Linked DNA regions of Cricetulus griseus. The main gene of each other region encodes a partner of the protein of the gene in region 3 in a complex. Links are inferred from orthologs where the notes say so. Each region holds a gene or a part of one and is shown on either strand. Other genes may lie near its edges.

Region 1 (4,284 bases), about 180 Mb from region 3:
CAAACAAACAGGTACCAAGAAGACAGGGAAGGTAGAAGGATTTGAGAGATCAGAGCTGAAGGGACTAGCACAAGACACCCCAAGTTCTCAGCACAAAGGAGATTTATTTGACCCAGGGGGACAGAGGGCAGGGAATATGAGACAAAGACAGGAGACAGAGGACCAGGGAGAAGGGAAAGAGAACAAGGGAGAGGAGGGAAGGAATATTTGTCCCAGAGGTACAAAGGACTGCCTCTGGATTGAGAGGAGACAGACATGGCCCATAGACAAACAGCAGTTTATAAAGGTAAAAGGGGGAAATCCTGAGTTAGGATGAAATTTGACTGGACAGGTTAATTAGGTAAGACAAAGGGGGGTTTTGATCGCTGGACTACAATACTTTGATAGCTGGACATTGGCAGTCAGCCTCAGGAGGAGGAAGTGGCTAAATAAGGGAATGGACCATGGTGGCTAGTTTTAGGATTATAATCTAACGATTTTTAGCAAGACAGAGGGGATGTGGGAGGACAAGGCCATGTTTGCCACACTCGGGCTGGCTAGAGTCCCTTCAAGAGTCAACCTAGGGGGCCAGGGAAGAGGAGCTAGGCAGAGTAAATGCAGGACCTTTTTGAGGGGGCGGGTCTCTAGCTCTAAACAAAACCCAGGGCAATATTCTATTCTCACTCCTTGACAGGCAGATTGTTTAGAGGCCCGTGGGCTTCAGAAAGCTGTGCACAACAAGTCTCTATTTCTCTTTGAGAAGCAAAAAAGGATGCAGGGTGTGGAGATGCATGCCTACAATCCCAGCACTTGGGAGGTGCAAGGATGAGGATCAGGAGTTCAAGGTCAACCTCTGCTACATAGTTGTGTTCAAAGCCAGCCTGGGCTACATGAGACCCTGTCTCAAACGTCATTAAAGAAAGGTACCCTGGTCATGGGGATGCACATCTTTAATCCCAGCACATAGGAAGCAGAGGCAAGCGGATCTCCAAGTTCCAGGCCAGCCTGGACCATATAGCAAGTTCCAGACAGCCAGGGCTATACACAGAAACCCTGTCTCAAAAAAACCAAGCCAAGCCAAACCAAACCAAACCAAACCAAAAAGACATCCCAGACATGGTGTTGAGTATCAGCACGCAGGAAGCAGAAGCAGGAGAATATGAGTTCTGGGACAGTCTGGTCTATATAGCCATTCTAGGACAGCAAGGGCTATATAATGACACCTTGTCTCAAAATAAAAAAATTAAAAATAAGATATATTTACAATGCTTTTCTTCACAAAGTTCCAAGGACAAAAACAAACTTTAGTGACAACACTGTGAACACTTCTGTTCATAGTTTTATTACGAATAAAAATCACTGGTAAAACGTGCAGAAAACCTGAGTATAGGAGGAACTCAGCCCGCGCGTGCGCGATACGGGCGGAGCCACTACCAAGCCACGCCCACCGCGGCCCGTTCCAGCCCCTTCTTCCTCTTTGTCCCGCCCACTTCCGCGGGCACCCAACCGTGCGTCCCCTGCGTGCTGACGTCAGGCGCGTGCCCCTGTCCGGCAGCCGAGGAGGCCCCGCGCAGTGCTGCCAACGCCCCGGCGGAGAAGCTGAGGTGAGTGCGGGGCCCGAGTAGCCTCCCCGCGGGAGTGTGTTGTGCATCGCCCGGTCCCTGTCGCGCGCCCCCGCCCTCCCTCGGTCCTCGAGGATGCTCGCGGTCGGGGGCATCCCGGTACCTGCGGGCCTCGAGGGGGGGGATTGCCGGGTTCGCGTGCGCCCGCGGGCCCGGGTTCTGAGGGGAACGAGGCGGGGTCGCGGAGAGATTTGGGGCCGGAATGGCGACGAGGCGCTGCCGGGGATGGCGGCGGCGGAGGGCGCATCCCGGCCGAGCTGTCAGTGGCGGCGGGAGAACCAGGCACACCCATCCCACCGGCTCCCCTCCCCCTCCGCCCGTCCGCCCTCCCGCCCGCCCGGGCTCCGCAGACTCCTGGACGGGGGCAGCGGACGTAGGGCCGGGTTCCGGGCCGGGGGCTGGGGGCCGGGGGCCGGGGGCCGCCGGCCGCCGTCTACGTTTTCGGTCTCGACTTCCTGCTTCCCGGGCTCCGCCGTGGACGCGTTGCTGCGGGCGGGCGGCGGGGGAGGGGAGCGGAACTGCGGCCGCAGGGCCGGGCCGGGGCCACGGTGACGGACCGGGCGGCTCTGCGCCTGCGCCCCTCGGCGGTCCCCAGCCCCGCGCTGTGTCCGTCCGCTCCTGCCCCGCGGCTCCCGGGGCTCCCGCGACTGGGCCGGCCTCCTTGCCTTCCGGGACCTGTCTAAGCACCTCCCGAAACCCCGCCTGGCCGCTTGCTCGGTTCCTCATTACTAGCAGGAAATTTTCTTTGTTGGTTTTTCTATTTTTTTTTTTTTAATTCCTCTTTCCTCCCCTTTAAGTCCCGTAGAAATGCAGTGTGGAAGATTACGTCATCTCAGCATAAGGGGTGAGAGTTTTAACTCCTACAAGTCAGGGCTCCACAAATTAAGATACATCTTGTGGCCTTAGTGGGTCACTCCACTCAGCACGTCGGTTCAGAGTCAGGTGGTGTGTTTTTTTTTTTTGTTGTTGTTGAAATCATGTTGCCTGCCTTGATGGCTGCCTGAGATGCATCTAAAATACGGAAAGGTTAAAAATCTTAGGCTTAGGTTATTTTTGGCCAGGGAATACACACTGTCTGCAGCCACTTAGGTAGGCATGAACTTTAAAGGTCCCCTTGGCTGTCTGTACTCGGTTGAACTTTCTTGTGGGAGCAATTCTTTGCCACACTGACCAATTGTGACTTAACCTGATGTAAGGAACCTAAATTTGGTGCATGGTGCTAAGGGTGAGCTAAAAAGAGAATTTAGTTGTATATCTGATTTGTCTTTGTTAGAATTGCAACTTAAAGTTGCATGCTTTAGTTTTACCATTAAAAATGGTTTTCGGATTTATTTTTTATTTTGAAACAGGGTCTCTATGTTTAGTTCTGGCTAGCCTTGACCTTAAAGGGACATTCCTTCCTTCTAAGTCTCTCTTTATAGGACTTATTTATGTTCTGTCATGGGAAACTGATAGAATAGTCCCTGCCGCCTAAGTGCTGGGATTACAGGCATGAACTACTTAAATTACCACCCTTGGTTTTAATTTTTAACCCCCAAAACTTGAGTAATATTTTTAGACTTGTATCACTAGAATTGTGTCCTTTGATTATAAAATGCAGCAGTGCTGAAGAACATTAACATTGCAGAGCAAATGAGGTCCACTTGTGTAATGCATCCTTTTAAGGGTGGCTCATGTTTGAGAAAGAATTTTCCCATTATTGCTCATTTGTATAGAAAATAGCATTGCTTGTTAAGAAACACCAGAGTGGTGTATTCAAATTGACTTTCTGTAGTTTGTAGGTATGGCGCTTGAATCTTCCAAAATACACTGTTAGTCTTTTTGTGACATAGGAGTATAACATTGGAGCATTTATTTACTACTGTATTTTTTAGCTTTCTATGTTTAAAAAGTTTATATGTGAGCCAATTTGTATTTATTTAAAAAGTTTGTGTGTGCACCAGTTTGTATTTTTTTCTTTTTAATTAAGTAATCTGGCTGGTGAGATGGTTCAGTGGATAAAAGCACTGGTCAGGCAGGTCTGACTACCTTAGTTGGATCCCCAGAACCCATGGTGGGAGGAGAGAATCCTGATTCCCAAAAGTTGTCATCTAGCTGGATTTATTTAGTGTTCCATACTTTCAATCTTAGGCAGAGGCAGGTGTATCTCTGAGTTTGAGGCCACCCTTGTCTACATAGAGAGTTCTAGAACATCAAGGACTAGAGAGACCCTGTCTTGAAAAAAGAAAAACAATAACTGTCCCAGATCTTCACATTTTGGCAGCATGCAAGCATGCATGTGTACACACTTAGAAATACACACAGTAATAATAAAAATAAGCAATTACTTTGAAGTTTTAGGTTTTAGACTAAGGCAAGGAAATAAGATTGGTAATTAACTGAGTATTAAAAAGGAGCTTTGAAAATATATACAGTAATTTGTTCAAGACCCAAAGGTGTCTTGTCTTCTGTTACATTCTCTTAAGATGTTTCATACAGTGACCAACCCCGTAGCTTAGTAAACACATTTCCCCTGTCCAGTATTCTAAGCAAGCCCATCAAGACTGAATCCTGAAGTTTACAAAATGTCAAAGTTTGTTTACTTAGGATTTCTTTTTTGCACTTGAAATAGTTTTTTAAAATGTTTTTATTCCTTCATACTTTCATACATGCATACAAAGTGTTTTATATTTTGATCATGTTC
Region 2 (3,622 bases), on a different chromosome or scaffold from region 3:
CTGATTTGTAAGTACAGCGGGGGCGGGAGGGGTGGTGGCGGAGGGAGGACCTCAGCGCTGTTGCCACGCCTACCTCATCCAGCCGTCTGTCTGTGCCTAGGGAGATGAGGTTGCTGAATTCTTTCTCCAGCAGTTGCCGGGCCTGGAGAAGGATGAGGGGGAGAGGATAGTGAGCCAAGGTTGAAGCGTTCAGGGGAAGTGCCCAGCATGCTCCCCGACTAGCCAAGGCTCACCTGTGCGTTCTGTGTAGGTATCTGTAGAAGCAAAGCCAGGTCAGAGTAGTCGAAGGTTTCATCCAGGGCCAGCAGCGCCCCGTGCACCCCACTCTCGGTGAGATTAGTAGCGAATTCCTTCAGGCCGAGCCCAGACACCCAACCCATGACCCGTTCGTTGGACCACACCATCACGTCTAGAGATGAAAGGGAGATGCATCTCCCAGAGGTCAGCCCTGCCAAATTAGCCTAATTCCACCCTCATTTCCTTTACCAGACATACCTCTATGATGGTTCCACCCTCATCTAGGGAAATGGCTAATTAGGCCTGAGATTCCCATTTCCCTCCCAAGCCACGCTCCCTTACTGGTTCTACTAATTATTTGGAGGAACAGCGCCCCCTAGTGAGCAGGTTCACATTCGCTCTTGGCCAAGCCCTCATGCTGGCTCTACCCCCTGTGTGATAGCGCTCCCCAGTGGCCAGAACCAGCCAGTCTGGCACATAACTCTGCACTCATTCTGTGGCCTGTTCCCCATGGTGACTCCACCCTGTTTCTAGTAGCTGTTGGAATATCTGACTTTCCTCCCTCCAGCCGGCCACTCTACTTGGCCCCCACAGGACCTCACCTCTGATTTGCGTCTGGCTCTCTTCCCTCCTCCGCTCCAGGTCCTTCCGGTCATAGTTGAGCCGTTTTAGGCACATGATACCATAGTGCAGACTAACCCTGAGCAATGGGGGGAAACTGAGTCACCTAGGAGCCTTCCCATGGCCACTGTCGTTATCAGTCTCTCTCTGTCTCTGTGTGTGTGTGTGTCTGTGTGTGTGTGTGCGTGCGTGCGTGCGTGTGGTGTGTGTGTGTGTGTGTGTGTGTGTGTGTGTTACCCATACTGGGCATCCCCAGTGCACTAGTACTTACTTAAGTTCTCTTGCTTGTTCTCTCTCTCTCTCTCTCTCTCTCTCTCTCTCTCTCTCTCTCTTTCTCTATCTCTCTCTCCGGGATCTCTCTATTTTTACTTTTTAATTTTGAAACAGGGTCTCCTAAGCTTCCTGGACTGGCCTTGAACTCTCTAGTACAGGCTAACTTCAAATTTGCAATCCTCCTGATTTGGCCTCCCCCAGTAGCAGGTCACCAGGACCACACTAGATCTTCATTCTCCTATGGACCACCTTCTTGGTTCAAGGAGCAACAAGCTAGAATTTCACAGAACTTCCCATTAGCCAAAGCCTCTCCAGGGGTGTGACTTCTTCCCTTGGCCAGGCAGTCCCCACCTGTGGAAGCTGTCCACCATCTTGAGTTGGCCTCGCAGTTCCTTCTTGTTCAGATGGTCCAACATCCGAGCATCCACCAGTGACTCCATGAAATAGCTTCGGTACTGGGGCAACCCAAGGCTGGGCAACCAGTCGTTCCCCACCCACTCGTGGTTCATGTCGCCATATGCCAGGATCTGGGGCCATGGGCAGGTGAGGGAGGGGGTCAGGCCCTCTTGTCCTTTCCCATATGTACAGGGAAAGGATAAAGTTCGGTTCCCACCCCAAGCTAGTTTTCTCCCCACCACAGAGCAATCTGGCCTCTGGGAACAATGGACCAGCTCAGGGTCTAATGTGGCACAGGCTAGCCTCAAATTCGAAATGAAGTTTGAGCATGATCTTCAACTCTACATCCTCCTACCTCCACCCTCCTGCGTGCTGGGGTTACAGGTGTGCACCCCCACTCCAAGTTGATGCTAGAAGTTAGGACTCTATTATAGGCAAGGGCTCCACCAACTGACTCCCAGCTCTGCAGGTATGCACCCACTCAGCCCAAACATGACTACACCTGGAAAGTTAGGGTTCCAGAGTGACTTTCCTGCCACCCAGAGACCATCACTCCTCAATACCCAGTTTAGGACAAGTCTATGAGATAAGACCAAAGTCTTTTGCAGCTTTAGGGCCAGGAAACAGACCACAGCCCAACCTGGAGCCTCCACCCCTGGCAAGCTCAAGTCAAGCATGTGGCCTCTCTCTTCTCCAGTCACCGTGTATTATGTCCTCGACACCGCTCACTTGCCTGGCCCACTCACAGCCACCAAAACCAGCAAGGCTAACACTTGAGCCACTAAATGGTGTGTCCAGCCCTCTTCCCCATCCCTAACACAAGCCCTATCACCATCCAGCAGCTCCCTCTGGTTCCAGCAATACCATAGTCCCCAGCTCCCCCAGCAACCCACAACCATGGAATGGCCCGTGCACCAAGCTGGAGGTGGACACTGAGGGTTTCCATTTTGTCCCCCACCAAGCCACTATGAATTAGTTCACAGCTGCACACCAAGCTGCAGCCTTCCTGTCCTGGTCAGGGACTTAGAATGTTCAGGCAAAGGGTAGGGCGCAGGAAAAGAGAAAGACCATGCAGCGTGCACAAGCTGTTCATGCGAGCAGCCCGCCCTGCACCCTACCTGCTCCCAGCTGATCTCCTTGGTCTCCTGACCCATTAGTGGGTAGAGGGGGAGAGAAGGGCGGGTTAAGGGGACAGGCAGAGGAGAACAAAAGGGACAGACGATGCATGGACAGACTGACTCCTCCCGGCCCCCACACCCAGTAGGGATAGTGCCACCCTGAGGCCCACCAGCAGGAGGCACTCACAGGTTTCGTAGCTGCTGTCAGGGACTCCATCTCCTCATGTGTCATCCACACGTTTCCTGTGGGCTGGGGGGCACCAGGTGTTACAGAATGGGAGAAGACACAATACAGGTGGGGACAGAAAACAGATAGATGGTGTCCTAAGTGCCCCACTCTGACTCATTCTGTTTGGGGTTTCAAAACTGAGGTGACAGAGGAAATGACCCTGTGTTGGGCATCTCCCTAGACAAGTGTTCTAGCACTGGGCATTGCTTTTACTTTAAAAATATTTAAAATAACATTTAGTTGATGTGAGTAGGAGTTGATTTTCTTCTTCTACCATGTGGGTTCCAGGAACTGACCTCAGGTGGTTAGTTAGACTTGGTGGCAAGCCCCTTTACCATCTCACAGGCCCTCTTTTTTCTTTTGAGTATGAGACGAAGCCTCACTAAATAGTCCAGGCTGAACTTAAACTTACTCAGTAGCCCAGGCTGGCTTTCAACGTGCTATTCTATTGCTTCTGACACAGGTACCAATAATTGTCTGCCTGTTTGAGACTTCCTAGGAAAAAACTGGGTCTGGGCATTGTGGGGCTGATTCAGGAGGCAAAGGCACATGGATCTCTATGAGTTCTAGGCCAGCCAGACCTACATAGTGAGATCTTGTCTGAAAAGAAAAGAAAGAGGAAAACTATGGATTTGGGGACTGTCCCTTGGAAGTGGTGAAATTTCCAGGAGGGGAGTCTTGAGGACAGGAGTAACAAGCCCTGAAAGAGATGTTCCCTGAAGAAGGAACTCATGTAACCCACCCATGA
Region 3 (3,622 bases):
CACCCCCTTCCAGAAGTTCAATCCATTTATGATCTCAGACATGCATACAACATGCTAAGAGGTAATAGGAACACAGTACTGGTGAAATACAGAGCTACAAGAAGGGGGGAGTCGGGGAAACATTTTTGGGAACCCAAAAGCAGCAGGAATGAGAGCAGGTCAGGGAACATTTTGCATAGGCAGAGGAAAGACTAGGTGTGACAGCAATTCCCAAATCACAAGGGTGATGGGACATACATAATCCAAGAGCCAGCAAAGGAGAGGAAAAAAAAATTAAACATGTTGAAATCCAGCACCAGGAGCTTGGAGGCAGAAGGTTGCCAAAAACCATTTGCCAGGAGCCACATTTAGACCCAAGCTCTCCTGTGTAGCTCTAGGTTCTAGACAAAGATGCCTTCCAATGTCCCCTTCACATTCCCACCTGCATTCATGTCTATGAGCTGCTCTCGCTTCTGCTGCTTCTCCAGTCGCTCCTTTTCTGCCTTCTCCTTGGCTAGTTTTGCTCTCCGCATCTTTTCTTCTGTTTCCCGGCGCTTCTGATTCTCCTTGACTGCTTGCTGAAGCACAGATTGGGGGAAGGTGGATATGTGGGCACATGTAAACCCACCAATAACCATTAGGAACCCCATGAAAAATTAGCAGTTTACCCTTGCTCACCAAAAACATATTCCTAAAGTTGTGCAGATCCATAAAGAATTCTTCCACAGACAATTTTTTAGGGTCAAAGATGAAGTAGTCACCTAGCTCCTTATATAGAGTCTCCATGTTGGAGTGCATCATCCGTAGCTTGTTATACTGCTCTTGTGCATCTTTCACAAAACTGTGCGCCAAAGAGTAAAGGACCACGACCAAGACCAGAGACCCACTCAAAGATGAAAAGTGGGCTGTGCAGCAACCACCGTATAGTGCTGCTCATGACAGAACAGAAGCACTCTAATTATTCAGAGTGACAAACCATAAGCTATGGCTTACCTATACAATAGAAGCTGCAAAGACTACTATAGACACAAGACTGAGACATATGCAGATAAAGCTACATGATGCAGTTTCTGTGTAAAACAACAATGAGGTATAAATCAGAAAGTGGTGGTGAAAGGGTCTGTCTGTGACAGCAATGGGGCGCACAGAGTAGGGACTCGGGGGTTTTTAGTGAAGGTGGGTACGTTTATAACGGGAATGGGACACAGAGTAGGCACTCAGGGATTTGTAGTTTATCTGCAAGGTTTGCTTTCCCTTCTACGTTAAGTTTAAAAATTGTGTATTTAGTGGAAAAAAAAACCAATTCAAAGGTGAAAACTGAAAATTGCCATCATCTATTTTCCCCAGAGATTTTCCCTTCCCAGGGATCAAGTCCTCCAAAGAAAGGATATAGTCATTTTCTCAACAAACTTGTCCTTTTCGTCTGTGGCAGCTGGGAAATTCTGAACATCACGTTCCACGTCAGCGATCTGTTTCTTCATCTGATCTAAGTTCTTCTGTAAGTTCTCAGCAGAAACTACAGGAGAGAAACGGAAGACCTTACTAATAACCATCAAGAGCCCACCCAGCCTCACCTGCTTACATACTTCCCTTTCTTCTCTATGTATGCTCCTCTAGCCTACATATGCTCCTCTCTCTGATTCATGTTGGTTTTGATCTCTGCAGCAAAAGCATAATTATTTGCTAATTGAACTTCCAACCTTCATACACTGTACAATACTAACAGAAGCAGACTTCATGTCATTTAAAAAGAACCGATGGGATCCCCTGAGACCTTGGTCTCATTTATTTCAGATTACAGGGTTTCAGAAGTAGGAGATGTAGGTAGGAACCCAGAAGCAGGGTAGAGATCTGTCCCATTTCAACCCAGTGTTTTGCCTACTTCCCAACAATGAGGCCCACTGCTTGTTAATCCAGTCTGTCTTTCAGAATGACAAAAGCCATGGACCTAGACTAAAAGCACCTGCCTTTCCAGCATCTGTGCGTGTGTGAGTGCCTGCGTGCGTGCGTGCGTGTGTGCCTATGCACGCAGTATTTCAAGAAAGGGAAAAAGTACTTCCACTTGTATACAGGCTGTCTTCAACCTCACACTCCTCCCTGAATCTTAGACACCTAACTACTTAAATTCTCCTTTATTCTCACTTAAAATGGTCTGAACCAAAAATGATTTACGTCTACACAGTGTCCTATTTCTTTCCTCATGGAGAAACTTTTTGGGCTCAGTACACACCTTTTTAAGAAAAATTTTCAAATTACACTTATTTGTGTGTGTTTCAGTGAGAGAGAGAGAGGGGGGAGGGGGGGGAGGGAGGAGGGAGAGAGAGAGAGAGAGAGAGAGAGAGAGAGAGAGAGAGAGAGAGAGAGAGAGAGAATGTGTGTGTGTGTGTGTTTAGGTCATAGAGAGCTAGTTTTCTCCTTCCACTATGTTGGTCCCAGGGACTGAATTCAGGTTGGAGGTTTGGCAGCAAGCATCTTTACCCACCGAGTCATCTTGCTGGCCCAGAACAATCTTCTAGCTTTGCCCTACACTGCCTTACCTCGGCTGGCTTTCTCTACATGGGCAAGCTCATCAGGAAACTTGAGGACATCAGGGTAGTCATTCTCACATAACTCAGCCAGAAAATGCAACAAAGTCATCTTCTGATCTGCAGACTTGGTGTCTCGGAGCTTGGGGTGAGAGGAGAAACTGTTAGTCCTGACTTGTCCCAAATGATCTTAAGCCAATACTGGGCTCAAGGTAGCCTTCCCTCTGTCCTCCTGTCTAATTCCATGGTTCACCTTACAGAGGAAGCTGATATTAAAGCCAAAAGCACCAGCATTCCTGGAGCCAGCATTCATGTAGTTTCCAACAAGCAGTGTGATCTCCAGGAGGCTGGAGAAGCTCTCGCTCTTACGCAGCTCCTCACACGCAGCAGTGACAGACACAATCTCTGGCTTGATATTCTCAACTTGCTCACTGAATTGTAGCTTGAAGAGAATGGCATTGAGGCGAGGCCGAAGGCGGGGCACTGTGCCCATCTAGTGAGGAAGGCAACAAGTTCCATTATGGAGCTAATGGAGAGAGACGTCAAAAGATACAGGCCGAGCCTCCTCTGTGAGACTGGAGCTTCAGAGCAAAGGAGTGGGGGGTGGGGGAGACAGAGAAATTGATTAACTTAAAAGGTTCAAAACAGATCAGAGGCAAGGAGCAAGTGACCAGGCTGGTCTCCAGAGGGAAGGGTATAAGGGAGTTGGAAAACAGCCAACTGCTACAGGCCTCACTCACCACCACGCCAAACTGCTCTGACTCAGCCAGATCATCATACTCGTCCTTCAGTTCAGAAAGCATTTTTAATTGCTCTGGTTCTGGCATCTGTTTAATGAGGTTCTGGAAAAGAGAGTAAATGTGGGGTGAGCTGTAAGTCTGAGTATCACGACTGTGACTCTAAATTCCACACTCTGACCAGTGATAACGAAGGAAGCATGAGGGCGGGGCAGCTTGTGAGATGGGGGATTCCTGAGTCTGCTGAGGTACCCTGCCCACAGCAGCTTCTTCAGCCAGCATTTTGAGTCAAAACTGGGGAAGGAGCTCCTGCTCACCGAGTGAGGCGGTGAGGCTGCTGTGCAGCTGTGCAGAGCCTCCTTGTTGCTTACCTGGATCATA

Evidence for each region.
Region 1: the proteins of Diaph1 (region 3) and Cdc42 are in contact, whole or in part, in a crystal structure (PDB 3EG5), measured with the Mus musculus proteins. The link is inferred for Cricetulus griseus from reciprocal best matches to the Homo sapiens genes DIAPH1 and CDC42. Residues at the interface, in NP_031884.1 of Mus musculus: Met90, Asp93, Met94, Asn95, Leu96, Lys100, Pro103, Leu104, Lys107, Ile111, Met115, Gln118, Tyr119, Thr122, Ser133, Tyr139, Ser158, Arg160, Val161, Ser162, Leu163, Pro167, Val168, Val171, Arg210, Lys213, Ala214, Asn217, Asn218; in NP_033991.1 of Mus musculus: Val36, Phe37, Gln61, Glu62, Asp63, Tyr64, Asp65, Arg66, Leu67, Pro69, Leu70, Pro73, Glu95, Lys96, Pro99, Glu100, His103, His104.
Region 2: the proteins of Diaph1 (region 3) and Ppfia3 are in contact, whole or in part, in a crystal structure (PDB 4UWX), measured with the Mus musculus proteins. The link is inferred for Cricetulus griseus from reciprocal best matches to the Homo sapiens genes DIAPH1 and PPFIA3. Residues at the interface, in NP_031884.1 of Mus musculus: Lys252, Ser255, Ala256, Ile259, Gln307, Asn310, Ala311, Thr314, Pro315, Ala316, Glu317, Arg322, Gln352, Cys354, Val355, Glu358, Gln359, Glu362; in NP_084017.2 of Mus musculus: Pro719, Arg720, Arg723, Leu724, Arg726, Met727, Ala728, Ala730, Leu731.

What each region holds. Positions count from the first base shown.
Region 1 is NC_048595.1:15,952,740-15,957,023, forward strand, and holds the start of Cdc42 (cell division control protein 42 homolog), read left to right. Parts: upstream 1-1,461; 5' UTR 1,462-1,583; intron 1,584-4,284. UniProt on the Homo sapiens protein: Plasma membrane-associated small GTPase which cycles between an active GTP-bound and an inactive GDP-bound state. In active state binds to a variety of effector proteins to regulate cellular responses. Involved in epithelial cell polarization processes.
Region 2 is NC_048599.1:154,251,986-154,255,607, forward strand, and holds part of Ppfia3 (liprin-alpha-3), read right to left. Parts: intron 2,896-3,622; coding exon 2,833-2,895; intron 2,673-2,832; coding exon 2,646-2,672; intron 1,659-2,645; coding exon 1,483-1,658; intron 938-1,482; coding exon 840-937; intron 410-839; coding exon 234-409; intron 143-233; coding exon 74-142; intron 1-73. UniProt on the Homo sapiens protein: May regulate the disassembly of focal adhesions. May localize receptor-like tyrosine phosphatases type 2A at specific sites on the plasma membrane, possibly regulating their interaction with the extracellular environment and their association with substrates.
Region 3 is NC_048595.1:199,788,289-199,791,910, reverse strand, and holds part of Diaph1 (protein diaphanous homolog 1), read right to left. Parts: coding exon 3,613-3,622; intron 3,347-3,612; coding exon 3,245-3,346; intron 2,998-3,244; coding exon 2,758-2,997; intron 2,647-2,757; coding exon 2,517-2,646; intron 1,496-2,516; coding exon 1,371-1,495; intron 823-1,370; coding exon 658-822; intron 558-657; coding exon 422-557; intron 1-421. UniProt on the Homo sapiens protein: Actin nucleation and elongation factor required for the assembly of F-actin structures, such as actin cables and stress fibers. Binds to the barbed end of the actin filament and slows down actin polymerization and depolymerization.